Mytilus edulis: one gene and its partner. Each later gene encodes a partner of the first gene's protein in a complex. Links are inferred from orthologs where the notes say so. Each region holds a gene or a part of one and is shown in the gene's direction. Other genes may lie near its edges. The genes, in order: evolutionarily conserved signaling intermediate in Toll pathway, mitochondrial-like; transmembrane protein 186-like.

Region 1 (16,465 bases):
TTTTTTTCTTTCTTTTTTTTTTTCATGTTTCCATTTAGAATCGTGTTTGCTACTGTAGTTAATGTATATATTTGTCTATAAAGAGATGATTGTGTAAGATACATGAAGTATAGTCATGTATAAAATTTATCATTGGAAGAAGTTACATAATGCTTGTAAGTTGTTATTTAAGGATACAGTGAAGTGGTACATTCTCTTTCTAAATAAGTGCCATTCGAAACTGCATTTATTAATTTCTTCATTTAATATTAACTTTTTCTATTAAGAATAGGTTATTTAGTTAGTGTTTTTTTGTGGAATTATTTATTATCAAAGATTCTTCCTTTCTGAAATTTCATTGAAATGTTGTTTTTTTAACTGATTTATTTTGATTTTAAGTAAGTCAATATTTATCTTGTTAGATTAGACAGAAATGAGAAAGAATATTGATATCTTATTTTTTTGGCTTGCTACTTTATCATTAACCAGTTTGTAAAGTCAGTTATCAATGTTATGTTTTTGAAACCTTTTTTTTTTATATATAAATAGGACCTTTCCAACCCTTCCAACCATTTAATACTAGAACAACCTTTACAAATTATTTATTTATAAAGATAAGTTTTATAGTCTCAAAATTGGAAAAGGTAAAATTCCTTTTTCAATGTTCCGCCTTTTTTCTTTCTTTCGTTAAGTTTTCAAACATCATTCATAAAAATCTGTATTTTCCTCAAAGCTAGATAAATTCACTTTTAACTTAGTTTTTTTGTATTTTCACAAATGCCATATTGGCATATAATGCACTCCTAATGCAACTGTTTTTGAAAATATCTGACAAAATCTTTTAGTTCACAGTTTGACTGAGTTTTATAAAGCATTCATTATTAGCATTTTAGGAGGTAAATTTCTCAGAAATTTGATTGCTTGTGATAATGAATATATGTGTTATGTAAAAAAATCAAGCATGAGAAATCAAATGAGTTCATTGATCTTCGACTTGTATCATATTTTCATGTCACTTCACTGTAAAAAAAATATTTTGTTCATTAACTTGAAGATTGTATTTTTATTTGTATATTATGCTGACATATTTAATCAGTCGTGATGCTTTTTAGTTTGTATGTGACAACCTTTAGAAATAGGACTGTTTATCTTGTTGCTTTGGTTAAATGTTAAATTTTTATGTCCTTTTGTGTCCATCTAGCATTAACATGGCGCTGTTTGAAGGCAATTTGATATATTCCTGATTCATAAGTGTCCTAATCTTTTTAACTGACTGTTAAAAGTAAAAATTATGCTTATGAGTTTCTGAGAACCTGTTTTTGGAAGTCTGAATAAAATTAATTGAAAAAGCACCTAGCAACAATGTCTTTTTGAAACAAATACTAAATCCTTGACATGAGATTATTGAGATCTAAGGGGACTTTGTAACATCATCTTGATATAATCAGTACTTGTTTTAAAGGATTTTATACCTGGTTGAAGTTTCAATTATAAAATAATTCTGGAAGCATACAATATTTTGAATGTAATATTTAACATTTATTTTGATATCATAATAAAAATGTTCTACTTACGGAATATATTTAAAGAATGTTTTTTTATGTCAAGGACTTTCTATTTGATAAAAAGTCCAGATGGAACAATAATTCTGTACATTCATTGTAGTATACTGTAGTATTTGTATTAAAAATGCTTTATTGAACTAATCAGAACTTAAATTGGTGTTTATACAATTCACTGGAAAACCAGATGTTTATTTTTGTTTTCTTTCATTTTCTTTCTTGGTTTCTTAATTTACTGGATTGAGTGGCAAGTTTAATTCTCCTCAAATATAAATATGTTTACAAATTTGAGATGAGAGAGAGAAAGATATCCCCAAAAGCATTGACCTAGAATCTACTTTGAATGATACTTTTGAAAAGTGTTAAAACGTGCAGCGTACTGAAGGAATAACAGATGATTTGATTGGTGCCAATAATTTATAATTAATTAACAATTATCTTAGAAAAATTGAAAAAAAAATCAGTTTTTTTATTGATTTATTTTTGCTTTGTACATCCAAGTTGTTATTATGCCTATTGTTCAACAGCAATTAATTGACATTTAGAAAAATAAAGTATTATTCTCAGTTCTCTATGATGGGTAATATTAAAATCCCCAATAAAAAAAGAATGTGGCTGGAAAAAAAATAAAAGTATGTTAATATTGTAATATAATTTTTTTTAAAGTGGTCTGTTTGTTTGGCTATTTTGTTGATACACACAAGTTTTCTAAAATTAGGCATTTTAAAGCCAAGTTATTTAGACATATTTCATAAAAAGAAGAAAATGTAGATAGTTTAATTTCTGTTGGTGGCTGCTGAAGGTTTCTAAAGTGCTTTTTATGAATTTCAAACATGTTTAAAGGAACATGAACTGATCTCAATCTGGGATTGGGGTAACATAATAGAATAGTCGAATGTATTTCTTCCAGAGTTTTTTTCTACAATATTTTCCTTGTTTGTGATGACAGTGCTATTGTTATTCTATGTTGAGAGTTGTTACTTGTTAACTGTCAAACATACAGATACATGTATAAAACTGAAGTGCTTTGTTTACATTACATTTTGGCCTGTTTATATACAACAATAATATTGATGACCATAACAAGACTTGGAGAACAGTTGACCATCTATTCACCTTGATGTGCTATGTAGAAAGGAATGGTCAGACAACACAAATAACCTATGTGCTTTACAGGATTTGTTGTGACTTAAACTACTATTTGTATGTTAAACTAAATATGTTATTTACAACATAAATGAATTGTTTTCCTTCTTGTTTGTTTCAGCGTTACATTATTGTGTTTTAAATACTGTTAATTCATTATTATTCATGATTTATCAATTTCTGTGGATTTCATAGTTAAAGGTGAACCACTAATTTAAATGTTCAATGAATTACAAAATTTCTATAGACTTAAAGCAGACTTTGGCAAAACTACAAAGTCAAATATTGACAAAAATACAAGTTTTTACTTAATCAATCCACAAAAATTGTAACCCATGAAAACCACTAAATTCACAGGACATTAAATATATTTGCTTGGTCTCTGTTTTGTAAAAATTTTCCCTTCCATAAACCCTAGAACATTTGATCATTTGATATAAATATGGATGAAATGTTCTGTAAACATTGCATTGTTTGTATGTTTTGGAAATTATTGTATTTTGTGTGTGTAAGCATGATGATACTGAGAAGCTTGTACACCAAAATATTTGTAATAAATTGAAATGAAAACTTGCTGATGTTTCTTCTTTTAATTTTACTTTATATTTAATAGTTTAATCAAAGCTGTCTTATGATTTCCATGGATATGAAGAACACAAAAAAAATTAGGGTTTGTTGGTTGTCAGTGCTCTTGTAACATTTGGATTATTCAGTTGAAAATCCTCTCTCTGGTTAAACCACATATCCCTTCAGTTTGTTAGTTTCCAGAGTTGCCCATCTATTGACTCAAGAACCATCAGTCTCAGACTTCACACTATAACTTAAACCATAAGCTCAGTCAATTATATCAAACATCAACACAAATAAATTTATTGGTTGAGAAATTTTGTCTCCAGGTAGACCATAGGTGATAATATAAATAGATATAGGAAGACGTGGTAAGAGACAACTCTCCATCCAAGTAACAACTTTTAAAAGTAAACCATTATAGGTCAAGGTACGGACTTCAACACAGAGCCTTGGTTCACACCGAACAGCAAGCTATAAAGGGCCCTAAAAATTATAATGTAAAACTATTCAAACAGGAAAATCAACGGTCTAATCTATATAAAAACGAGAAATATGTATGAACTACATAAACAAACGAAAACTTCTGTACATCAGATAAAGTATGGATGACCCAGTCAAGAATCATTAAGATAAGCTTTATATTTTACAGTTATACATTTTCATGAGTACTATTTGTGAATTGAACTCAGGTACTTGGCTTGTTTCCTATCCTTGTCACTATATAACCTATGATTCATTGTGATATTGGTCAATAAATCACAATTTAAATTTAAGGTGAAAAAGGGGTCCATTTTCATCTTTAAGTGCCTTATTGAACCTTCTCCTTTCGTGAAACTTTGTAGATATCTCCATACTGACAGGAAATTATGATTTCAACTATTGTTTTTATCAGTTTTATCGGTTATGCCCACCTTTGAACTTAGAATTTTGGCAAATATACAACTGCAACAGTTTGTCATTCCAACTCCTCTCGAACCACATAACAGAATTGTATGAAACTTTATTGATAATTAGTACATACTATATGTAGGTGTGCATAATGACACATTTGAGATTCAATGCTTTTTCTAAAGAATTATGCCCCTTTGAATTAGAATTTTGACTATGATATACAAATTCAATAGTTTGTTAGCACATATCTCTAAAACAACATAACATAACAGAATCTTATGAAACTTTTTTTACTTAATAAGGTCATAAAATGTTAATTTTCATATTCACACAAAAAAAATAATAATACTGGTAGTTATAGTAGGAGTTTTGAATCCTTGAACTTTGAAAGGACAGTTATTGTTTTCTCAGTGACAATGTGGTGTTGGTTATATGAGTGTGTTCAAATTTAATTTGATAATAAAACATGTTCAGATGGGAGACATACAGATGGGTATAATCATATTTAATTTGAGGCCAAAGGTCAAGGTCAGAACTGCAAAAAATAAACTGAAATCAAAGCATTGTAAGCGCTATTGGCAGGTAACCAAAAACCAAGACAAATTATAGTTTAGTTAGAAATTGTTGCTTCTGTCTGATGTCTTCAGATGCACTTGTTTTAGCAAAATTTCTACAGTTGTGAGTAGAAAAGGGTTTGAAGAAATCAATTTTATGCAAGAAGTCAGGACTTAGTGTGAGGATAGCTGACATACTTTGCAGTTTGAAAGTAATCACTGTATTTTTAATAGTGTCAGCTTGTGAACACAACTCCTCTGAAATCATTCGACAGAGCTAGAACTCTCACTCTTTAAAGAATTGTCTGCCATGTGTAGTGGACAAAATTGTACCATTGTTGGAAAGATTGGAACTTGTTCTAAATCTTTCCTTAGGCACTGGCCTCTCTAACAACACAACTGGTTAGCTACTATTACTAAATGTATTCACACTGAAATATAGTTCCCTATAGTTCTCATGTATGTTCACATAATATACATATAAACTGTTAACAAATGGGTATATTTTTGGAGCAGTTCATACAAGAAGGTATGTCATTAAGGTGTCTTGATGAAAAGGCTTTATTTTTAAACATATTGAGTATTGATACAATACTAGATGATTGACAACTCATTATCATCAACCATTCAGGGACAAGGTGGACCTTTAATTACAATGCCCCACCTCCTAAACTGTCAATCAAATTGACCACATTACTTATCAACCTAAGTCTTACATAGTTATACCGACCCTATTACATCTATGCTTCAATATACATCCCAATAAACAAATATCAATAAATATTTGACCTCAAAATTGAATACACTAATGTATATACTAGATGTTTGATATATAAGGATGATAGATTTATTTATTGCCTTTTACTTTTGATCTACATTACATAAAGGTGAATCTGTAAAGTGTGTCTGAAAGATAAATGATTAATTAAGGATTAATAAGATCTTTAAGAAAAATGAAATATAAATATGAATATATAAAAGGTATTCAAGTAAGGCGTATGATTTACTTGATAAATTTACAATATTCATCTGCAATTAATCAATAATTTAGGTTAGTTCACTTATTTTTTTTATATCAGTAATTGGCTTGAAACAGTTTTAAAATTTTAAAACTTTTGATTATAACAAACCATTTTTTATTAGTTTATTCCCCATCAATCATTATGTTTATTTTAGTCATTTGAATTTTTATAAGAAAGTGAATACATCTTTTTGCAATCAAGAAAAAATCCGCTAGAATAAGTTTTTTTAATTTGTTTACGTTGAAAAAGTACATTTTCAATGCCCCGTTCTGAAAAATATGAATTGATCAAAAGGCACAACTTTTAATCTTCAATGTCATATAACCTATGTTTTAACTTACAAAATGCCCCAAAACAACATTTTTAGATTATTTTTGTTGACACTTTAAAGTTCTTAGCTTATGTCTTATAAGAGTAGTTGTAACATTTACTAGAAGAATTTTCAGCAATAGTGCTTTATTTATGTTCTTTCAGTCCCCTCCATACCTTAATATGAAATTATCCAAACTACTCTTCCAATCTTTCCATGAGTGATATCCATCACTTTGATTTTTATTTGACTATCGATCAACAATAATGCACCTGGACAATTCCTCTTTTCTGGCGTAGAAATCTTGTTAATCTTTACACAACTGTCATAATGTAATGAGTTCTCCAAAGTTTTGAAATACAAAAACCTCTTCTGGACCTTATTTATTCTGGATTCCTATGATTTAATAGTTAATATATTTAAGAAAAATAAAGACATACTCAAGAGATTTCAGTTTGAAATAACGATATTAGAATGTAGAACAGAAAGTCACAGGACAAAAAGTCAACACTAAAAAAGGTAAAAAATCCCATAACTCTGATATAATTATATAAATGGTTGGATCAAAATGACAGTATTATATGGTCAACTACAAATAACATGCATTACCAAGTATGATGGCTTCCTGTCAGATGCATCGTCCCAGAAGAGCTGCATTCTCACAATTCTCCATGAAATACTCAATGTCCCTCAACGCCTGTAAAATTGGTTTATTTACAATGACTCGGAAACAAATCCGACTAGATATGTACCTACAATGATTCTTTGCCTAATATTCACATTAAGAGAGGTCAAAGTAGTGGGGGAAATATAACAACTGGTTTAGAATAGTCGGGTAACAAAATATGAGAGATTTCTGTAAAATGGTCTTAGAGTAGTGGCCTTTAAAAGGTGTTGTAGTTACGAAACCGATAAGTTTCTGTATAACGGTCTCAGAGAAGTTGCCTTCACAAGGTGTTGTAGTTAGAAGGCGAGAGATTTCTGTGAAATGGTATTATAGGAGTTGCCTTCAAAAGGTGTTGTAGTTAGGAGACGAGGGGTTTCTGTAAAATGGCCGTTGAGGAGTTGTCTTCACTAGGTGTTGAAGTTAGGAGACAAGAGGTTTCTATAAAATGGTCTTAGAGGAGTTGCCATCACAAGGAGACCAGGGGAATTGTTAAATGGTCGTAGGGGCGGTGGTCTTCACTTATGTTGTAATTAAGAAACGAGAGAATTCTATAAAACGGTCTCAGAGGAGTTTCCTTCAAAAGGTGTTGTAGTTTTTCTGTAAAATTGTCGTAGATGAGTTGTATTCATTATAGGTGTTAAATTTAGGAGACGAGAGGTTTCTATACAACGGTCTTAGAGGAGTTGCCTTCAAAAGGTGTTGTAGTTAGGAGACGATGGCTTTCTGTAAAATTGTCGTAGAGGAGTTGCATTCACTAGGTGTTTAGTTAGGAGACGAGAGGTTTATATAAAACGGTCTAAGAGGGTGTTTCCTTCACAAGGTGGTGTACTTATGAAACGACTTTTTGATTTATTTTTGATTTGTTTTTGATTTATTTCTGATTTATTTTATTGGTGGAAGGGGGCGATTGAAGCATTTTTTTGCGATTTACTATTCATTGTTACCTGTTGCCACGCAGGCTTATTTCTTTTAAGATGCTAAGTGCGCTAAAATCTTTTTATTTTTTGTACCCAATTGTTTCCTGTATGTTATGTTATTGAATATTAATTTTTCTTCCTGTCTTAAGCGAGGTTATTTCTTTCCAGCTCTTACCAGGCCACAATGTTTATTTTAAGAACCCATCTGCCCCTCCCACTTAATCTACTAAAAAAACGGTAATAAAGACAAAAGCATACTATACAAGTAAGTAAGTAAGTAAAACTTTATTTGGATTCGGCATATTGACAAACAGTACAAACATAAGCTCTATTGAGCTTTTCACCCGGAATATAAAAACATATGCAATAACAAATAAAACAAGGCATGCAGCATACAAAATAAATAATAAAAAGCAGCACCAAAAATTAACTCTAAGCAATAGCATATACATGTATCTTGCGAAATACCAAAACATATATATGAAGCACTAAATCTTGAAAAATTTGCAGTTTAAAAATTATTTTTTAAATAATTTATGATATTTATGACTGATTTATAAAGTAAAAAATTTAAATCTTTCAAACAAAATGTAAAAACAAAATTTCAGTTACAATGCTAGCTGTTATTACTTAATGCAGCATAAAAAGGGTTAAGCATAAAAATAGCAACACAAATTATCTACAGGCAGAGCAAAAACATTCTGTTCCACTCCAGGACTGTCTGAACAAGACTTTAAAAATGTGAGAAGCTGTTAACAGTCCTGAAATGGTCTGGTATGCTATTCCATAAAGAAGCAGCAGCAAAACTAAAAGATTTTTTTCCATATGAAGTAGTTCTTACCAGTGGTATTTCCAAAATATTACTGTATCTAAAAGAATATTTAGTGTGTTTAATTTGGAGTAAATTTTGTGAGCCAAATTATTTAAAACTTTTATAAGTCTCAAGTGCCATTGTCCTGATGCGTTTTACTTGTAGGGTTGGAACCTTTGTGTCTCAAGAAGAGTTTCAGAGGATGATCAGTAGTCGTCATATACAAATCTCAATGCACTCTCTTGTATTTTTTCAAGTTTTTTTTAGAATTTTCTCTGCCGGTATAAAAATGTCAAGCCAAAGGGCAAAAATTAAAATTACTAAATATAAAAGTATACAAATAACAACACAGAGAACTAGTCTTGGTAACATGAAGCCAACCAAAATCTGAGGGTGATCTAGACTGACAGTATATAATTGAATTGATAAATGTCCATTTCTGACATTGTTTTTTTACGCTGAATTTTACAAATTTTCCAAATTTATCTGATTATACTCCATCTGGTAGGTCTTTGATGTGGATCTTGTATCATAAATCTACCCAGACCATTTTTGAAGAATCTTCCTTTAGTGCAACCCTAAAACACACGTACTGTCTGACTATGCCTATAATTACTGGGTCCTCTATTCAAATTTATCTTCTCTATATACCAATTTCCGGATTAACACGTTCCTCTCCGGACTTTGTGTCACATTTACAAAAACTGAGCCTTTTCCGGCTAGCAGTCGGTGAAATATTTTCAACAGTACCCATCAGCGTGTGTGAAATCAGAACCTATGTCAATTAAGAGCCGGAAGTGAAAGTAGAACCATATTTTACACCTGCGTTATAGCCTACAAATAGACATATATATCTACCCAAAAGATGATGTGAACTGTCACGATACCGGATTTATTATCAAATTTTAAGTAGCTGAAATCAACACCATTTGTATACAATTATCATTGGACATCATTAAACTGTTGAACTGATAATAATAAAATGTACGAATAAAATGGCAACATTTAAATATTTTTCTCTGTTAAAGGCACATAAATTTATGTTCTGTTCTCAGGTTCTGTTTGGCGTGAATAGGAGTCTGGATGGGGTTTACAGAAAAGGGAATAATGGTAAAAAAAAGTGCAGAATAAAGGGTAAAATGAATGAAAAATATAGAATATTGGCAAAAATGATAATAAAATTAATAAACAAGTGTATGGTGCACACTTACAAAGAATAAAGAATAATGGGCATGCAAAATAAATAATAAATATTAGAAAAAAATGAACTCAAAATCAAAGAATAAAGACATAAAAAAAGCCCCTCCCCTTCAATCCAGACCCTCATGAATTTGATTCCAGTTCTATCGTAATTAATTACAAACGCTTGTTGACCTCAATTTTGAAGATAAAATTGTAAGAAAAAGAAATTATTGAAAGCTTAGTGTTGATGAACGCTTCACTGTGCCAGTAAAGTAAAAAATATATGTGTATTTATTTTTTATCTGGGACTAATTAATACATTTATTTACTAGTTCCAGTTTCATACATATTAAAATATTCATAAGTTATTCAATATTAGAATGTAATATGTGTTTTTTCATAGATATCAGGTACAACGATCTACAATACTACATTTATGATGGGTATTTCTAAAATATCAAAATATGATTACAATTACACAAGCATTTTCTCCCATGTGAAAATTACTTTTATCGACCAGAATTTTTTTGGCATATGAGTAAAACAGAGGTTGGAATTTAAAGAGAAAGATAAGTTTGACGTAGTTTATTTATGTAGGCATGTAAATGATTAAAATCTTTAAATGAGAAAAAAATAATATGATTATCTACGTAATGTCTACATAACAAAAACGTCAAAACGAAAGCGACTTTTTATTAAATTCTGTTTAGTGGACGACTATTTTATTTTCGGGGGAGAGTTAGGGGAAGAAATCCGTTTAAAAAAATGCATATACCTACCAACAGTGGTAAATAAATAGCCAATTCCCAGGCGCGTAGCTCCCTATACGCCAACACGCAGTTGCGTGCACATCAACACAGCATGCAAAAAAAATGTCAAAATAAAAATTTAAAGGAAACACAAATATGTTGTTTATAATAAACAAATCATTTAAAAATTGTATGTTTTCGAATATCATAAATACAGTTGTGAAAATGAATAATCATGAGTCCCTTGCTTTAATGGAAATGAAAAATCTTGCTTCAATAGTGCAGAAAATGAATAATTTGTCCTCTTAGATTACAAAAATAAATAACCGATCAAAAACAAATCCTCCTGCCCCCCCCCCCCCCCCCAGAATGTCAAATGGGCGACCCCTAAGTCTACATATATAGGATTTTTTTTTCTGCGACAAGTGCCTCAAACCACGTATTAAGATTTTTGATAAAGGACCACAATAGGTAAAAGTCCAATTTAAAATTAAATGTTTTAAGTTCTTAGACTACATTCATTCTGTGTCAGAAACCTAGACAGACAACCTGAATGGTTCAATAATGGAAAAATTAGAGAGAAATACCATAAATTAGGAATGTGGTCCGAGTTCAAATTTTGGCGAAACAGGACAAAACACATAATCGATGAATCAAAAAGAAAATTTTGTTCAAAGATGGTAAAAGATTCAAAAGCTTCTAAAGATTTGTGGAAATGTATTCAAAGTCTTAACCCATCCCAACAAGAAAAGCCATATGAACTTTTAAATGAAGATGGTGTTAAAACTAATAATGTCAGTGACATTTGTAATGTTTTAATAAGTTTTTTACATCTTGTGTTGAAAACCTGAGGACTGACAGATGTATGAGCAAAACTCATGATTATGCAAAATTAAATCAATTTGTACAAAAGAAATTTAATAAGTCAGAACAAGTAAAATTTTCAATTGCACCAGTCACAATAAATGGTCTATTTAATGAGATGATCAAACTTGACATTAATAAATCCACCGGATTTGATAACATAGAACCAAAATTTTTAAAATTGAGTGCTCCTTTCATAACGTCATCTTTAACTTACATTTTTAACAGAATAATAGATACAAGTACATTACCCAGTGTTCTAAAGAATGCAAGAGTAACCCCAGTTTTTAAAGCTGGTGAAAAATTCATGGCAACAAATTATAGACCAATTTCTGTACTTCCTGTTTTATCAAAACTTTTAGAAAAGCATGTTTCAAAACATTTGTATGACTACCTAAAAAGATTAGATCTTTTACACCCAGCACAGTCTGGGTTTCGACAAGAACACTCTTGCCAAACTGCCCTTATCAATATCATAGATAAATGGATACAGGATATGAATGATGGTGATATCAACTTAGCAGTCCTGTTGGATTTTAAGAAAGCTTTTGATGTAGTAGATCATGATATGCTCTGTAAAAAACTTGAAATTTATGGATTTGATAATACTGCTGTTTCTTTTTTTAAATCATATTTGAATGAAAGAACTCAACAAGTACAAATTGGTAATGCTCATTCTGAAAAACTTTATATCAAGTATGGTGTCCCCCAAGGCTCCATATTAGGCCCCTTCTGTTTATATTATACATAAACGACCTTCCTATTTATATGCAAAATTGTTGCACTGATTTATATGCCGATGATTCAACTTTACATCTTTCTGGTAATTGTTATCAAACTCTACAGTCAAAGGTACAAGAAGATTTACATGGTGTAGAGGAATGGTGCAATGATAACAATATGTTCATCAATAAAAATAAAACAAAATATATGATTATTGGAAAGAAGCAAAGAGCAATGCCACATTACAATGAGAGTTGTTTAACTATTAACAATCAAGTTATACAATCTTCCACATGTGAAAGTCTTTTAGGCATTAAAATTGACCCTTCCCTCACATGGACAAACCAAATTGATGTGATCTGCTCAAAAATATCATCTAGACTATATCTACTATTAAAGATTAAAAAATTTCTAAATCTAGACCCATTCGCTCCTTCTGCACCCTTATTCAAACATTTAAACTGGATGACAGTTGAACAGAGAATAAAATATCATAAGTTAGTGATGACATTTAAGTGCATTAAAAATGATGCCCCATCATATCTTACTAACAAGTTTCATTATGTTTCAGACAGAAATCCATACCCCTTGAGAAATGCTGTTCAAGGAAACCTCATACTCCCTAAACCAAAAACAGAATTGTTCAAAAAAATCTTTTATGTATTCTGGACCATTCTTGTGGAATAATTTGCCAATACCGTTAAGAAATATTACAAATGTTAATTCTTTCAAATACAAAATAACAGATCATTTATTGAAATCAACCTACCTGTATCAAAAATATTAAAAACTGATCATGTTATCATGTTTATTTTTTTTTTCATCACATTTTATCAAGTTGTATTAAACATTATTATCATACTTGACTTTTTATACTATAAATGTATGCAATGTATATGCAGGCGCGTAGCAACCCGTACGCAAAAACGCAGTTGCGTACACATCAAACATTCAGCAAAAATAAAAATATGGTAAATACAGTTAGAATAAAACTAAAGTAATGAAGTTAATGAAAAAAAATATACAAATATGTTAATGATGTTTGTAGCTATATTCCGTTCCGAAAACTAGTCTTCCCTTTTCATTTACGAAACCAACATCGTAATTATGTTGCTGATGCAAACAATTTAAAATGACTGAGTCCTCCGGGTGTCAAAACACAATTGTTACGTCTTCTATGCCTCCTTACCCTGGCATCTTTTCTGAAGATTCCAAAATAACTGATGAAATAAAATATGACATTCTTAAGAGACCATGGACATCAATTCATTCTTATGAATTTCCTGTGAGGTATGTATAAGTTTAAAAACAGTCTAGTCCAACTTAAGTTTAACGGGGGTGGTAAAGGGTAAAGTTTTCGTGCAACTGTACTCATCGTTTTTTTTTTCATTTGACGTTCAACGTGTTTTCACTTTTTTTAATTTTTGTGAAAGACGGGTGCCTTTTTCGTTCAACAAGTTACATGTTCCCAAATTTAAATAAAAGTGCGTATTTTCCATGCTTTCAGTTTTAAAGTTTTTGTTTTCCGTAATCCTAATTTGAATAAAAAAAAATTACTGATCCACCATCCAAACCCCACCCTTTACTACCATTTTTAACCTTTACTTACTAGCAAATTTTTAGAATTTTATTTAATATTGTTGAAGAAATAAAATTGATTTGATTTTGTTATGCCCTACCCACGATAATAGATGGGCATTGTGCTTTCTTGTCTGTGCATCCGTCTGTCCGTCCGTCTCTCTGTTGATCCGTCCGTCGTATGCCGGTCTCGATGAGAAGAGTGGAGACCTACTTGAAAAATACAATGAAAACGAATCGTTTATATGGACTCGGTCTTTTGAACATATACCGAAAAAAAAATCAAAGCAGACACGGTTTTGGACATCTTTAGTAGAAAAAAAGAAAGGAAATGGGCATTGATTTTTCAGAATCAACTTTGAGAGAAATAAAAAAGCTGAAAAACACTGCTTGTTCACTCATAAAATAAAACATAAAGATATATGTGATTCGAATTTTTATTTATGTATTTTCTCAATAAAAAAAAAATACCATTTAAGTTGCACAGTGTTGGCTTAGAAATTAGTTTTTCTAATGTAAAGTGGGTTCAGCATGATTAGGTAACAAATAAAATATACCTTATCAAGCCATTTTAAAACACTACACATAAGGAAAAAAACAAATTGTTAAGCCAACAGTACGGGTTTCTTTATTTTTCTCTGATTATTTATTTCCAAAGTTGACTTGTTTCTCCTAAAAGTAAGATTTCTGTGAGGTCATTTTAAGTCCTCGGAAGTTGTGAGAATGCAGGATTTTGCCCAATTTACCCCCAGAGCTTCTGGGGGCCTTGAGCAGCCCAAGACCCACCGCCGTATGACTTCCTTCTACGGCATTGCGTACACATCAAAATTGCCTAGCTACGCCCCTGATTCCACAAAAACCAAGAATACCAAATGCCCGTCCCCTTAATTAAAATAAGGACGAAGCCAAGTAAAATGGTATGGATAGGGTTCTTAAATTTCTGTATTCTTTAAATGTTTAGGGCATTTTTCTTTATCTGTAAGAATAACGCTTATTTTGTAAAATTCCCATTAAAATAATTTTACAATTCAAATTTTCTGTAATTGGAGGAATTCTTTATTCTGTACATAACTCGTTTCTTTAATCAGTAACGTATAACATAATTATTTTATTTTCAGTTCATTTTCTCTATTCATTATACGTGTTATATTTATTTGCCATATTTCTTCATGAATGCCCCATCCAGACCCTAATGTTATTGTAACGTAAATCAATGTAATTCATTGTTAAACTTACACTTTATTTCCCCCCTCTGAATTTTCAAAATCTTCTTTCCCTTCGAAAAAGACTGAATCACGATAAACCTATGTCTATATATACTAGTATATTACGTGTATATATGAATCAAGTCTGTATATGGAATCATATATATATATATATATATATATACAACTCGTCTAAACATCAACCCAACAATGTTAGATCTGTAAATTTGCTTTCGCAAATTTTTGGTTCTTCCCTCGCCGGGATTCGAACCCATGCTACTGTGATATCGTGACACCAAATCGCCTGCACTGCAGCCGTCCCGCTAGACCACACGACCACCTGGGCTCTCAAAAAAAGAGCTTTCGCTGGCCATGTGTTACCTTTCCACGTCAGTTTTAATCTAGCGGCGTACTACAGTACATGATATATAAGGCATGAAGATGTGATTGTTACAGATCAGCTAAATTATCTATAGTAAAGGATCCTACAAATTAATGTAAGATACAGTCACAGAAAATAATTATATTCATAAGTACGTCTGAGTCAGTGACAACCCTACAACAGATGTATCCATATATATATATATAACATGTTTATCCAAAACCAAACATGTAAATATAGAACCAAGACCTGGTCAATCCAGAACCAAGTCAGTATCTATAATACTAAAATTACGAGGTCCAATTTGTCAGCCGTCATCACGTAAAAACGACGAATCACAGAATTCAACTTTATATATAACTAATATAGTACAAAGGTGTAGATTAAAAATTACACCACTCCAGGCCCTTTTGTTTTCCACGTAATTAATATTGCCAATAATTAAGAAGTTCCGGGTCGAGTCCGCTACCGATACCAATAGTATATTCACCTGTTACCTATTACCTTATCTGTACGTTCCGCATCTGACAGGCGCACCACCAAACGTTGTATTCAGGATTAATATGCTATATACACGGGTCATAACCACAGGGTTGACACTACTAAATTGTCAAATTGTTACCTATTATAGTATTTTAATCAGTAAGACTTTCTAAGATAACAATACGAATACAAAAAATCTGGACTAAAAATAAGGCGTATAGGTACAGTTTTCAATTTGTTAGTGGGCATGACGTAAAACAGCGAAGCAAAGAATTCAACTTTATTTATAACTTATATAGGACAATGCTGTTGATTAAAAAATACTCCATTCCAGGACCTTTTGTTTTCCAAATAATTAATATTATTGTTTCAGTGCGACGGGTTCAAACAGAAAGACTTGAAAGCAGAGAAAAACCGTGTATCTTATAATCGGCATGGCTTTATCAGATGACAATACTAATACTAAAATAAGGCTTGCGCATAGTAATATATATACTTTAATTCAGTCACGGACCCGTGATATCACGGGTGTGTTCTAGTATGGTATAAATATAACGTGTTAATCTAGAACAAAACATGTAAATCTAGAACCAAGACCTTGTCAATCCAGAACCAAAACTGTATATGGTATAAATAGAACGTGTTAATCTAGAACCAACCATGTAAATCGAGAACCAAGACCTGGTCAATCCAGAAACAAAACTGTTAATAGTTTAAATATATCGTGTTAATCCAGAACAAAACATGTAAATCTAGAACCAAGATCTGGTCAATCCAGAACCAAGACTGTATATGGTATAAATAGAACGTGTAAATCTAGAACCAACCATGTAAATCTATAACCAAGACCTTGTCAATCCAGAACCAAGA
Region 2 (16,395 bases), about 1.7 Mb from region 1:
AGTTTTAAAGATGATTCAAATAATTTTAAAGAACACTGGTTCAATGCTTTAAATATCTTATCAATTAAGTATATGAACTTTTGTAATTGCTTTTCTGAATTCGACAATTGACCAGTTCAATTTGAAATCCATTTGAATCAAGGTAGAGATGACCTGCTTTTGAAAAAATACCTGATGAATGATTTTTTTCCAGTGGTTTATGTTAGCTGAAATATATGTGTTTGTATTAGGTTTAGGCATGCTAGGTAACCATAGCTAAGATGATAGACTAGTGCATCATGTTCAATGATATTCATGTAATAACAGTAGCCCATCCAGAATTATTCAAAATGTTACAACTTACATGAACATTAGTGTACAGGTTTAACTTAATAATATTCTTTTGCCGTTTTTACAGGAAAATAATGTTATTTCGTCTTAGATTTTATGCTTAAAAAATTCCCAATTAGAATAAAAATTCCGAATTTGATGTCCAACGGACCCATTTGAAAACACCTGGAATCATCCCTGTTAGTGTGAAACCACTGATTCAAAGGACAAGTTTCACTTCTTGTCCAAAATGGCCTAAAATATAAAGTTAAACATAAAGCTCCAAAAAGTTCACAATTTGGTTTCTCAAATGGGTATATTTCTAAAGTCATAACGCTCAATAAATCAGTTCTTTTCATAAAAGTACATTTTATGTTCCAAATTTTGTCAAAATATGATGATTTTGGGCAATTTTCAGACCCGAAAGCTTTAAGCAATTAAGAATTAAGATTTAGCCACCACCTACCATTCAAAATGTTTTGTGACCAAAAGAATCCAAATCTGATATATATAATTCATCAATATAAAATTTTTGGATCTTGGATGGCAGCCAAGTTTAATTATTCCAACAACAATTAAAGTTTTACCATAGTTATCTGTGGTATAATTTTCACAATTATTCAATAGTTTTGTTGTGTATGATTTACAAATATAAAAATAAAGATGGCAAGACCGGAAGAAGGCCGCCTGATTTTTTTAAGTGACATATGAACAACAGAGTCAGTGTGGGGCCACTAAGCTAAACTGCCCGCTTTGCACCAGCCAATATAAATGAATGCCTAGGGTGGGAATCGAACCCACATACACCAACTCTGTTGTCCCTATATTTTTAAATGAACAAAAAATTGTCAAAAACAAATTTAAACAATATACGACGAAAATTTTTTCAAATTTTGCGGTCGTATAAAAAATGTATAAATTGGTTAAAATTTAATTATCAATTTATACATGAATATATCTATAGGTTGATTTTCTGTGATTCAGATGTCTACTCCAGTTTACTCAGATTGTAGTCTCATAGGCTCCAATGTACAGCTACATGAATAGACAGCGTAAGAGTGTTTAAAATTGCTAAGGCAGACTTTTGGGGGGAGGAAAGAACTGAAGGCTTGCCCTTTTCGAGGAGCTCCATGTATGGTAAATGCGTAGTCCTTTTTTTATATAGTTTTACCCAAAATGTTGACTTGCTAGACCCCTCCCCCTTTAAAACTCCTGGATTCTCATCCAATTTGATAGAAATCTAAACTGTTTTAAAACAAAGTTGTTTATGTAATAACAATTATGTTTGGGAATTAAAAATAGAAAGGTTCCTTTAAATGTTGCTGAACATTTTGTTTGAATAATCTAGAATATACATGTACATGTGGTTTTAATCGTGGACATTTTAAATCCATGTTAACTTATGCGTGACTTGGGCTTCTGGTACAAATTAAAACATGGAATTATTCATGCAAACTCACAGAAAGATTCTTGAGATTTAAATTTCCACAGAATAATAAATAAACAAAAACATTAAACAATTTAAACATTTAACATACTAAAATTTATGATAAAAGAGATGATTTTTCATTTCCTATCGTTAACTATCCATTTTTAGATGGTGACGTTCCCTTGTCACCATCTTACGGTGTTTATATACACTGTATCTCAACTTGTACGATTCTCTCATGTATGTAACAATGTTTTAGATTTTAACGAGAGAAATTTATGTATTACTGAAAAATTATTACACCAGGGTTTTCCATATCACAAACTAGTCACAACATTTACTAAATCTTATCAGCGGTATAAGGACATTATTCGTAAATATAGCTCAACATACAGACTTCTTATACGTTCAGGTATTTCACATCCAATTTTTTATGGAAATATTCTTTATAAAGCACAAAGGTGTCAGTATTCACCTCAGAAACTAACAAAACCTTTGAATAGACTTATTAAGAGGGATTTAGTAACGATACTGTTGTCAGGTCATTAAAGATTGCATATTTTGGCGTTAATATTAATTCACGTATAGGGTCTTTGCATCGGAACTAAACACATTCATTTAAAAAACAGTTGTTGGCATGACACTGGTTATGTTCTTCTCATATATGTTATGATGGTATGATACTAAACCCCTAATGGGAAGGATTGTGCTTGATATTCATATGATGAAATCATAATCTTACAGTCAGTTTTATTGAAGTCTGGAGCTGGCATGTCAGTTAACTGCTAGTAGTCTGTTGTTATTTATGTATTATTGTCATTTTGTTTATTTTCTAGACTATGGTTACATGTACATCTTCTGACATCAGACTCAGACTTCTCTTGAACTGAATTTTAATGTGCGTATTGTTATGAGTTTACTTTTCTACATTGGCTAGAGGTATAGGGGGAGGGTTGAGATCTCACAAACATGTTTAACCCTGCCGCATTTTAGCGCCTGTCCCAAGTCAGGAGCCTCTGGCCTTTGTTAGTCTTGTATTATTTTAATTTTGGTTTCTTGTGTACAATTTGAAAATTAGTATGGCGTTCATTATCACTGAACTAGTATATATTTGTTTGGGGCCAGCTGAAGGACGCCTCCGGATGCGGGAATTTCTCGCTACATTGAAGACTTGTTGGTGACCTTCTGCTGTTGTTTTTTTTTCTTTGGTCAGGTTGTTGTCTCTGTGACACATTCCCCATTTTCATTCTCAATTTTAACATTTTGATAAAATAAAATAATACACTAACCCTTTGCAATGTTGCAGTTCAACTTTTAATCTAGGGTTCTGGAAAACATTTAAAATATCTCTTGCAGTCATATGCAGGGTATAGGGCTCATAGGTTTGACTCAATAAACATGATAAAGATTTGCTAAGTTTACTGACATGTAGAATCCCAATATCCCTCTTAGTATAAATAGCCACATGTGTGCTCAAATAACCATTTAGATTAGTCTCAAAATTGATATATCTAACTCAATTGAGTAGATCTAGCTAAAATTTTACTCATAAATGTAAGTGATCATATTTGCTCAATTTAAGATCTCATGGGTGCTCGTAGTGAAATTTAACTGATTGTATTTGCTCAAGTACTCATGTATGCGTGAACAAATGTCTAATTCAAATACCTAAAATTTTACATGGATATGGTTACACAACTTAATAATTTTGGCAATACATGTACATGTGACATGTTAGTCCAAATAATTATGACGTCTTAAAAGGCTATTATATTTTTTTTCTTTGACGCCTTACTTCCGACGTCGAAGTAAGGCGTAAAAGAAAAAAATTTAATAGCCTTTCAAGACGTCATAATTATTTGGACTCGAAGTAAGGCGTCAAAGAAAAAAAATATAATAGCCTTTCAAGACGTTTATTTGGACTAGTGACATGTATGGTCAAAATTATACAATACTACAAGGAAGACTTAAAAAACAGAACAGTTAATCTATATTTATATATACCTCTAAAACTGTAAGGATTCTCCAAATATATCTAGTGGCTAGTAAATTCAGACATTTTACTTTCACTTTCAGTGTAAAATAAGACTCTTGCTTTTATGAGCAAGAGTCATAATTGACACTCAAAAATAGTCCATCTCTATTGGAAGAATAAGAAGTCGAAGATTCTCTGAATATTACATAAAATACAATTATTTCAACCAATAATTATATATAAGAATTACTTACAAATTCATTAACAAAATCCGCTTTTTTACTAGTCAAGGGACATAATTATTCAAATATACTAATGCAAGTAACTAAGTCGGAGAAGGAGCGAAAATCCGAAACAGCACCTTAATTAAAAAAACAGAAAATAGTTCCACGTGCACGTGCGTGTCCAAGTGATCAATCTACTTGTTATTTACGAAGAAAAGAAATTTAACTTCAAAAATTGTTGAGATCTTTGAAAAAAAAACTGATTCCATTAAAGAATACAATGAAAGTAACCTTATCTTTAAAGGCCTTGCAGGTTCTTGTTACTCCTACCCAATCTGCTGGTATTTTCAAAATGGCTGCGGGGGACGCGGCCTGACAAATTATTTTAATATTGTGTCAGATTAAATATTCCTGATTTTGCTTCGTTAATATTATAGACAAATATGCTACAAACGGTTTAAAGATGTTACTCTAAATCAAATAATTGAAATATAATTACCTTTCTGTGTGTAATTGCGTGAATTGATTTTCTCTCGTTTATCTTCTCGCTCTTGCTCACTTGATGAATATGCATAGGTGGTATTCATCCGCGACAATAATATTTCGGTATATCATTGATATTGAAGATCGTTTGATTGATATACGAATATTTCTAACGACAAAACATTTTCATGTTATTAATTTGCATTTAAAAAAATCTGAGTATCCATTGAAAACATGAATATAAAAGAAGAGACAAGGAATTTTATTCTGCACTATAATGTTCGCGGGTTCATAATGTCGGTTATTATCCCAACACTAATTATATACGCATCTCTTTGATCTTTGAAGATCTTTGAAAAGTAGGCGATGGCAATACACCCGAGGCCCCTCAGGGGCCTCTGATGTAAAAATGGTCAAAGACATTTAGACACTATGTATATAAATTACTGTCAATTATTAAAACATTACAAAATCCATGTACCAGGTGTCATTCCAGTTAGTGTGAGAAACTGAAGACTATCTTTGGTAAATACGGTTAAATGTTTATTAAAGTTTTCAGTATTTCTCCTTTATCAGCATATAAGCAATTCTTCCAACATACCAAGTTATCTTCTTAATTACACCTTATGTAAGAATCCTGGGTTTTGACGGGTTGATAGCCATTGTATTTTTCACCAATTTACTGTAATGATCTTTAATCAAATGAATATCGTTCATTTTTTAACGCCGCCGGGGTATGACATTACGGCTCGTGAAATTTTACATTCTCTCGACTGGTTAATTAACATGATACATCTGTTCAATATTATAGCAATACTATTAACGTTAAATTAAGTTCAGTTTTTCATTCTAATTTTTAGATATTATTAGGACCATGTTTCGTGATGACTGGTAATAGTACATTTATTGAGTTAATTAAACAAAGTACATGACTATATGAGTGGATGTTGCCCTTGAGAACCCTGATGATATATGACCATTTATATCCATGACACTTACATGTTCCTAGATTTTTATAAAGGACATTGACTTAAATATTAAAAAAAGCAATTTATAAATCTAGTATCTCAACCTAAATAAATTAATATTTTAAGTAGGTGTGTAACCTTACCAAATATGTAAGGTTACAGATATGTACAGCAAGAATGAAATGTCTGTGAAAGTGGGCAATGTAATGACACCATCTTTCAGTTCACTAGTTGGGGTAAGACAAGGGGATGTTCGATCTGCCTCCAAAATTTGAGCCAAGTCCAGATGCTGTTGATATCAATGGGCGTAGAATTGATTGTCTTATGTACGCTGATGACATTATTGTATTATCAAACACAAAAAAAGGTCTTCAAAACCGACTTGATATATTGCATACTTATTGTATTGACTGGTGTCTAGATGTAAACTTGTCCAAAACAAAAGTTTTAATTTTTTTAAAACAAGCCTGGAAAATTTGTAAAGGAATCATTTTATTTAGATAAAGAGGCTATAGAATGTGTTAATAAATGTAAATATTAAGGGATATTCTTTACTTCTAGTGGTCTTTTTCAACAGGGGAAAGAAGAGCTATTCAAAAAATCCTTAAAGGCAAAATTTAAATCACAAAAATCCATGTCAGCTTGTAATCCAAGTATTGATACTGCAATTCATTTATATGATCACACAATAAAACCAATTTTATTATATTGTAGTATAATTTGGGGTTCATTTAAAATTAACTCTGCTGCTTGCAAGAAAAAAGTGATTATCTATTTGAATTAATCTACATAAATGATTATTTGGAAAAATCACATTTCAGATATTTAAAGTATATTCTTGGTGTAAATAAGAAAGCCTCAAATTTAGCAGTGTTATCAGAGGTTGCAAGATTTCCTCTTTATTTTTCTGTCATTATATCCATGGTAAAATATGTACACAGGCTTAACAAGTTGGACAAAGGGTTACTTTATGATGCTTATGTTTGTAATAAAATTTTAGATGCAGAAAACATTAATTGTTGGTATTCATCTATGAAATATGTACTTCAATCACTTGATATACAAAATTTAGATACAAAGCTCAATAAATTAATTAAATTTGTAAAATGTAAACTTTGTAATAGTTTTAAAACATTTTGGTTGGTCAAAAGATCTGAAACCTTATCACAAGGTAATAGTAAATTAGAGAATTATTTCAACCTCAAGACTGACTTTGTAAAGGAGGCTTTTTTATCAATTAAAGATTTTAGTATAAGAAGAGCTATATGTAAAATGAGAATAAGTGCTCATGATCTGAAAATTGAGAAAGATAGATATAGTAAAAAATACATAGAGATAACTCAACGTCTATTTCATCACTGCTTATCACATGGATCAAATTCTATTGAAGATGAGACCCATTTTACAGTAAATTGTCCATTATATGATGAACAGAGGAAATTATTATTTGATAAAGTTATCACTTTTTGTACTAATTTTAAAGAACTACCTAATGATAAGAAATATTTCTGGCTGTTCACAAATGAGCATTTACCAACTCTCATGTGCCTAGGAAATTACATTATTAAAGGTTTAGAAATAAGATCCAGATGTAAACAAAATATATGAAATAATTTAGTATTTTATTGTTATAAGATTTAATATAATAGTTATATAAAACACATGTTGTGTTAGGCTCTGATCCTGTCCATAACGTTACAGTATGTATTAGTTTTCTGTTTTGCTTTTTCCAATCATATTGTGTTGTAAAATGATGCTCTTTACGGGTTCTTGATTAGATTAATAAAATTCTTATCTTAAACAAAAACAAAAAAAAATTCTTATCTTATTGACCGCAAAATAAAAAAAATCTTTCAAATGATAAAAAAAAAAAAGATATTAAAGATGCATTCTGTCTTGGTGTAAAACATTGTAAAGTCTAGCCTAAAACCACATAAGAGCAGCCACCAGACAATATATGTTACACCAGACGCGCGCTTCGTCTATACACAAGAATCATCAGTGGCGCTATAATTGAAACAATTGGTTGGCCAAATCAACTATGAAGTTTAAAAGCAACAAAAAGCGAAAACCGTTCGAATAATTAGATATCTTATTAACAGTTAGTTTACAGAAAATGAACACATCAATGATATTCCACAAAGACACAAAAGTACTGACTACGGGGCTGGTTATCTCCAAAAGCATGCCATCGACCATAACTTGGACGGTTGTTTTTTTTCTGTTTTTGTTTTCGCCCGAGTTAACTCTTAAAGTCTTACTATATCATATTTTAGCATGGTTTTATATTTCAATAGTACATTTAGTAGGAAAACTGTAAACAGAAATTCCTGTTTAATTTGATATATTCGATGTGTTGCAACTTTTAAAAAGATATGTTTATTTCAATCGGAAAGTACTTGCGGTCACTGAACTCAAACTTAAACCCCTTTCAAGACATAATTAAAACTAAAACAAGACATTTGTTCCCCAGTCTAAAATATAAATCATCCCCATTTACAGACCTTAATTTGTTGTTCTTAATGTGACACTATAAATTATCAAAATGGTTCAGGTTCTATCTAAGCAACAAATAAAAAGCAGTATACATGTCTGTTCCTTCTGATCCTGTGAACTGTCGCATCACTGGCGGATGATGCAACATAACTATTTTTTTTCAATTTCGAATTTATCTTTTTAATTTGTCTTCATAAACGTCATCGTTCAGGTGGATCAATGTCATAGATTTATAAACAATTTGCGTATCGACTGTAAAAAGCATGTTTATTTGTTCACTGCAAATCTCTCAGTATGTATTGAGAGTCACGCCATGGTCATTGAGTAGCAGTAGCAATGACCGTTTACGGTGAGTTCTTGTTCCATAAATGTTGCCATGTTTCATTTAATAACAATGATCAACAATATCCGCGCGAATTTTTTTTTTTGTCATATGACAATCGAAAAATGTTAACCAAATTTAGAATAAGCAATCTTGTCTTTTAATAGAAACTGGCCGCGATATGCAAAAAAATAATAATACCAACAAACGAAAGAAAATGTAAAATAATATGTAATGTATTAAATGACGTATTCCATATTTTTATACTTGTAAACTGATTTAATAAAAATAAAAGAGAAATCTTTCTTAAATATTATACCGAAAAATATGTTAATTTTAACTTAACCAGAGACATATAATGCATTACAAAACTTAACTGATAAACTCGTGATTATGTAGGATTATATAGTGTCCCCCATAAAATTATGTCCCATGAACAAAATTTCACAGACATGATCTATGAAATTTGGTCCAGGACATAATTTTATTATAAAATATTGTCCACCTCTATGTAAAAGTGTCCCTTGGCAAGAGATTCTATTGTGACCTTCGTTGGACATTTTTTCATAGTAAAATCATGTCCATATTGCATAAAAGTCCTGTCTTATACCAAAAAATTTATTTAACAAAAAATAATAAGACTAAATTGACATTTGTATTTAAATAAGCAATAGGAATCTATGAATTGTTTTAACATCTTTGAATTATCCTTTTTAACAAAATCAAAAATGTCAGGAATAATATTCATAAATGCTTGATTGCAATTATGATTGAATATCAAGTTTTAATGTTTGCTCTTGTGTTTTTGTTTTTTGTCAACATTGATATAATACATTTCATTGTTTTTAATGTGAAACTGCTTTGCCTTCCTTTTAAATGATCTATCATTATTTTCAAATTCTGGAGGGTATTGACCATCACACACATAATTATACAGCTGTTTATATTTATCACTTTCCATTTTTGTTCACATCTGTGTTGTCTTTATTTAAATTTCAACTATTATTTTAAAACTAATTGATTAAAACATTTCAATGATTTCTAAATTATTTCCCTTCAATAGGGACAGAAAAAAATAGCTACACTATGAAATATTGTCCTTTGTGACATATTTTTATATAACATCCATGAAATTATGTGCAAGTACTAGGGACAATTTTTCACTAAGGGAGACACTATTTTATGGTTTACAAATGTGATATTTTGTCCCTTGAACAAAATTTCACGGCTGAACTGTGAAATAATGTTCTAGAGGACACAATTTCATGGGACACTTTTTTGGCTTACAATTATACTAAATCCATCAAAACCAAATGATATAAACACAGTTTTTTTTTAAAGCGTCATCATGAGAACTGAGCATGGAGACCAATAACTGGTTTTAACATGCATATTATATTTGTTGAGTTTTTCTTATGTTTGTTTTGTCTATGTATATGCTATAACTTATTTACTAAAATTGTTTTTTGTTTGTTTAGCAAATAATGTATATATATAATTATTAATAAATTTATCAATCGTTCATTTTGTGTGTAATCAGTATTGTTTGCTTTTATAAATTTTGATTTTGTTTCTATTGTGTATGTTTGATATGTTTGTATATCTATGAGGTGCCGTTTTACTATTTATTACTTAGTTTCTGATATCAAAAAATGATTTTCTGATTTAATATGTTTATTGTGTTAATACATGTTGGTCACACACTAAAATGTATACGACAATAAAATATTTGGTTTGATTTGCCGGTATTGTATTACCCAATTATTTAATTCCCATTGTTTTCTTTATACTTTTGCACCCAATTATTCTCTGTGACTACTTTATTCAATAATGTTTCCTTATTTTTTATTTTATGGCCAATATTCTCAATTCTGTAGGAACCAATCGAACGAATGTGAAGTAATATTATCTTGTATTGAATGAACGAAGGGAATTAACTCTTACCTGTTTCAAATAAATTTTCTTTTAAATCGTAGATTGTCTCCCATCAATTACCAAAGATGAACGTGTGGAGTTCTGGCACCTTTGCTAGGTATGATATATGTTATTTATCGTGAAAACTTTTCATTAAGTATCGAAAATCTAATAACATATCTAAACAAACTAGGCCTAATCACTAACACATTGTTCCTACCTCAATGAGCCGTGTGTAGAAATTCACAAAGATAAACCCTATTAGCCTATGCTACAGATATAAACACCGTGCTTGCATCGGAATATGACCGACAATTTCCCGTGTATTATATTTCCACAAATAAATTGTCCGTTTTCCAACCAAAAGAGTAACGTGTAAATAATATAACTTAACAACAAAACAATTATAATCATATTGAGATTGAGATGAGACCAAGTTTTTGTAGAAGGGGAAGGGTGGGGGTAGGGGAGGGGACAGAATTGAATAAAAATGAAAATAAATATTTGCAACACAAAATAGAGGAAACCTTTGTGTACAAAAGTTCACATAAAAAAATAACATGCATATCAACTGTTACAACATGAAAATTGTAACCGGAGGGGTTTTAACGTTGCGTATTTTCTGTGTCAACTTTAACATATTTTACCCCAGACCGTGTATTTACAATAGGAGGTCAATTAACATGTTAACAACACCTCGATTTTAGCAACAACAGTTAACAACATATTAAAAAATGCTGATATTAACAGTTAACACATAGGGTTGAAATTAAAACAGTCATCAGTTTAAATTTATCTCAGATAAAAGTTAACAACACCTTGAAAAAGGCCATGACAGGTTAACATAAAAAGGTATAAAAAGGTATTGCCCCTTTCATACCGGGTATATGTAACATTTTAAGAAGCAAGATCAGAGTTGCCTTTAATATATTGATTCTTATTCCTGCATATATACAAAACCCTACATTTATACAAAATGCAAGGAAGACCTATAATTTCCAAGAGAAAACGAAACAGAACTGAGAATGGAAACAGGGAATGTGTTAAAGAGAAAACCAACAGACCAAAGAGCAGAAGACAGATCAAGGCTATCTATTGGTCTTTAACACAGGCAAGAAAAACCTGCACCTGGAGTAGTGGTTCACCTGGCTCCTAAAAAATAAGGTGTAACAGATCAAGGCTATCTATTGGTCTTTAACACAGCCAAGAAAACCTGCACCTGGAGAAGTGCTTCAGCTGGCTCCTAAACAATAAGGTGTACTAGTTCAGCTAAAATGGACATCACACTAAAAAAACTTTGAATTATATAAATGAACCAAAAATTTAAAAAAGTTACCAAGTGGTTTATACATTATTTTACAGCTTATTTCGATCATTTAATTCAATATCATTTAAAACAATTATATTTTTTTTTACAGGAGTGCGGTCCTCACGAAACAATGGAGAAATGCTGTGATCAAAAGATGTATGAGTTCACCTTGTTTAAAAAGAAACAGTGGAAAAGTTTTGTTTACAAACAAATTAAACAGATTGACTTACTTCCCTAGTCGCTGTTATCCATCTTCAGAATACCCAGAGACATTTGATCCTTTCAAGAAAAAAAAGCCAGAGTTTGATCCAAATATTGCAAAGAGGAAATATAAAACCATTTATTTCTTTAAACCAATTAAAGTGGCAAAAATTTTGTCAATGTTAAAGATATACCAGACTGGATTTACATTTGCCTTGGTTCCATACTCATTATTTATGTTTCATTCTCAACTAGCTGATTTTAATGTTATTGCTGCATGTGTTGGACTTTCAATATCTGCCACAGTTTCTTTGTATTATATCAGTATGTATATACAAAACATCACAGGTATTATTGGTGTAAATGAGGATATGACAAAAGTAATGATTTCACATTTGAATTTCTGGGGCAAACGTGAGGATCAAATTTTCAAACGAGAGGAGATTGTTCCTTTCTCAGACAGTGGAGAAGATGTGAAAAGTGACATTTATAAATTAATAACATTTTTTTCAAATGATCAGAAGTTTTATCTTTTTGTGAATAGAGGCAAAGTTGTAGATAGAGAAAAGTTTGAAGAAATTTTTGGAAACTTGATATAAATAAATGTATCACTTTTATGTTCAATATTTTAGTGACAAATAATTCAGAATAAAAGATGACATAATTTTAAGTTTATATTTAGATATAGAGGTAGAAAGGTGAAGATGTATCAATGATCTGTGATTATATCATGTACATGATTTAAGGACTTGTTGATATCGGAAGAAAGATAAATGTCTTTTAAAATATTTAAGAGAATGTCTTATAAGCATGTATTTTTCAGCATTCTGATTAAAGATTATTATTCAATGATAAAAAAAAAGAGAAGGACTTAAACCTAATTTTATTCTTTTTATGAATTAAAAAAATCTTTAGAACAATTAGCTTTTATAAGTAATCTGACAAAAAAAATGAGTTATTAAATATGACTGATGATAAGGCCATGTAGGTCATTGCCATCATTTTGCGTCTGTTGTTTATTTCTGTCGTCTCCATACTTTTCAAAGAACTTTTTCTCTGAAACTACAGAACCACTTTTAACAAAACTTGGGATGAGTGATCTGTCGCGATCCTTAGGGTATGTATCTTGTATAAAATTTGTGTTTTATTCTGGTCAATAAACAAGCATGTACACCAGACTTAAAAAAGAACAAGAGTTAAAATGTATTCATGGTCTTTTATCTTGAAAACTGTCACAACTAAAAGGTAGAGAAAATATGAAAAATCAAAATTGTTCAGAATGCCAAGATCTTCCTCCTCACAATTTTCACCAAAATTATTTGTGTGGGAGTTATTTCCCTTAAATGACAGTTTTTAGTTAATTTTCATGTTTTAGCCTATTATTTTAAAACTTTATAAAAAAAAAAGAAAATGTGGTGTGAATGCCAATGTGACAACTCTCCACAAAGAGACCAAATAACACAGAAACTAATAACTATAGGTCATTGTACAGCCTTCAACAATGAGCAAATCCAATATTGCATAGTCAGCTATAAGAGGCCCCAAAATGAATATTTGTTGGACTTGGGTAAAAACTGATAAGGTCAAAAATTATAAGCAATACAAAAAGTGCCAAATAATAGAAACCATTGGATGACTTCTTAACATATTTTGGACTATTTTTTGTGTCCGTCATGACTTTTTCAAAGAACTTCTCTGCTGAACATGCTGGCTGAAAGAACTGAACTGAACCAATTCCAACAAAATTAGGGGGGGGGGGGGGGGATGATCCTTAGATATATAATTTGTGGTATCTGCCTGTCTGTCAACAAACATCTATTTTTAACAATCAATTAAACATAGAACATTAGGATAAAATCCATTTTCTTGAATCTTCAAACCATAAGAGAACAAGCAAATATAAAAGGACAAAATTTATCAGAGATCAACCTACATCATGTACTTACTGTTTCTACCAAAAATATCATCTGACAACTTAATTAGATGAGTAGAAACTATAACATGTAAAGGCAAAAGTGATCATCAAAACAAGATCTTCAAAAGTGTCAATATTATTTATATGATTAGATCACTCATCAGCAAGGAGTTATTGCCTTTAAATAACGATTGTTGACAGATTTAAGTGTTTTTGCCTAATATCTTTAAAATTATAATGGATAAATGGAAACTGTAAGCAACAAAAAAAGGTATTGTGATTATTTTTTTCACATATAACAGTAAAAATTTGGTTCAATTTGTAGTAATTATTTCTGCATTGGAACAAGTTTCAGTTATAAAAATATTGCATCCATTGAAACCTGAGACATCTGTGCAAAATTACACATATCTTTCAATTTGAAAATGTACAGCAAAAAAGAAGCAGCCAATCGAACATTACCATCAAGGAAAGGAAAGTTAACCAGAAGAGAAAAAAAGTAGAACAGTTTGTCATAAAATTTGTAATGATCATTGCCATGTGAAATGCCAACATCATGGTCTAAAAAGGACAGTGGTCACTCAGTATTGAATTAAGTAAGAGCATGGAAATGAAATGAAAATGCATTTCCATAGAAAGAGTGAGTTGAGGTGGACAACCTAAACATCAATGAAACATTTGCCACTGGACATAAAGTAAACAACCTGTCAATTAATCTAGCAATCACATTTAAAATATCTGGAATGACTACAGAGAAAATGTCTTCTAGATATCTTCATGTTTTATATATCTAGCAATGCGTGCATTATTAGTCTTTTGGGTAAAGATTGCATGGAAATGAAAGGCACTGACTTGATATCTAAATCTAAAAAGTTGATCATTCACTGACTTTGAGATAGAAAAAAATATAGTGCATTGATTATAACAATCTATACATCCAATCCAAGAACATTTCCAGATATTCAAGTCACAAACTGATGTTATACTCGTCAAGAAAATATTGCAAGGCACACGAATCTAATAGCTGTACATGTTCTTAAATATCAAGGATGTGAATTTTAACCAGATTTTCGAAGTAAAATTAATTTGTTGATTTGGGGATGTACGGCAGGCAGTGGCTGCCAAACAGTGTCCTTTCATTTCATTTCATAAAAACCCTAAGAAGATTTTTGTCATGCCCCCTCTATGAAAGTAGAGGGACATTATGTTTTCTGGTCTGTGTGTCTGTGTGTTTGTCCGTCCGTCTGTCCCGCTTCAGGTTAAAGTTTTTGGTCCAGGTAGTTTTTGATGAAGTTGAAGTCCAATCAATTTGAAACTTAGTACATTTGTTCCCTTTGATATGATTTTTCAATTTTATTGCCAAATTAGATTTTTGACTCCACTGAACATAGAAAATGATAGTGCGAGTTTCAGGTTAAAGTTTTTGGTCAAGGTAGTTTTTGATGAAAGTCCAATCCACTTAAAACTTAGTACACATGTTCCCTATGATATAATCTTTCAAATTTGAATATCAAATTAGATTTTTTTACCCCAATTTCACGGTCCACTAAACATAGACATTGATAGTGCGAGACTGGAGCATCCGTCTACTATGGACAAATTCTTGTTTAAATTTAAATATGTTGTTTCTTGTGACAAAATAAAGGTCAAGTTCAATTTTAGCTTTTCTCATTGATAAGTTATAGCCCTTTCCCAAGAATTAAACTTTTGATAAATTAATCAATATCTGTACAAAAGGAAATTACTCAATTTTTAAAAGATTTTTTAGACAAATAGTATTAGTTAATGATAAAGGACATTTTGGATTTTTGTTTTCTTTTCTTTGGTAAATTGTTTGAAGACTTTTGTGGTAGGTTTGTTTGTTATTCTGTATAAAATAGTTTATATGAATGCTTTATATAGAACTATAATAATATATTTAGATAGGATATATTTCATTACATTACATTGTGTAGATCTTTATTAGTTTGTGACAAATGAAAGAAAAAGAATTTGGCACTTTTAATTATATATGACTATAAATTGAAAAAAGATATACACTGACTGTGTTACATCATATCTTATAATCTTATTTTAGAGAAGTTTTTCCAGTCTTCAGTTAGAATACTGTGTTAAACCACAATTATGTTCAAAGGGAAATAACTCAAACTTATTCCATGAACCAGTAATGACATGATCAAAATTTCTATTTTTTAAAGTCAAGTCAGTGTGTTATGAAGGTAAATGAAACAATTGTTATTTGGTATTTTATTTTTGTTGTGTGTGATCTTTATTGGTGTTCTCCATTAATATTCAATACACGAAAATAAATCGTATCCGTAATGGTATTCCGTATTCGGTTAAAAATTAGTATATTTTCATTCTGGTACCCGAACTGGTTTCAGCAAACCATAAACAAAACATCTACACGTGCAAAGATTGCTGATATTACCCTGTGACTGTGTAAAGGTACTTATAATTATAGTATAACTAATCGCCGTATTTGAATATCAAAAATAAGACAACGCGTGACCGAACGACGCATGGATTAAACGAGTGCGCAGCACGAGTTTAATCCATAGCGGCGTTCGGTCACAAGTTGTCTTATTTTTGATATTCAAATACGGCGATTAGTTATTCTTTTTATTACATTGGCAAATGGCTTTTTTTTATGAAATTAATGTAGAAAATGTAAGGAACTATATCTTTTTCCTACGCATTGACAATTTGTTTTGATCCGACGTTATCGACGTCTTGACAACGCCTATTGTTGTATGACGTCAGAGAGTGAAATAACCACGTTTATTTCACATGTGAAATTATCGGTTTTTATCTAACTGGGAAATCAATGTAATTCATTGCAACCAATGT

Evidence for each region.
Region 2: evolutionarily conserved signaling intermediate in Toll pathway, mitochondrial-like (region 1) and transmembrane protein 186-like share a complex: the UniProt entries of both Homo sapiens proteins name them as parts of the mitochondrial complex. The link is inferred for Mytilus edulis from reciprocal best matches to the Homo sapiens genes ECSIT and TMEM186.

What each region holds. Positions count from the first base shown.
Region 1 is NC_092352.1:11,358,619-11,375,083, reverse strand, and holds the start of evolutionarily conserved signaling intermediate in Toll pathway, mitochondrial-like, read left to right. Parts: upstream 1-9,090; 5' UTR 9,091-9,170; intron 9,171-16,465.
Region 2 is NC_092352.1:9,639,599-9,655,993, reverse strand, and holds transmembrane protein 186-like, read left to right. Parts: upstream 1-10,127; 5' UTR 10,128-10,206; coding exon 10,207-10,238; exon of another isoform or gene 10,239-10,298; intron 10,299-10,340; exon of another isoform or gene 10,341-10,431; intron 10,432-11,538; coding exon 11,539-12,229; 3' UTR 12,230-12,300; downstream 12,301-16,395. UniProt on the Homo sapiens protein: As part of the MCIA complex, required for efficient assembly of the mitochondrial complex I.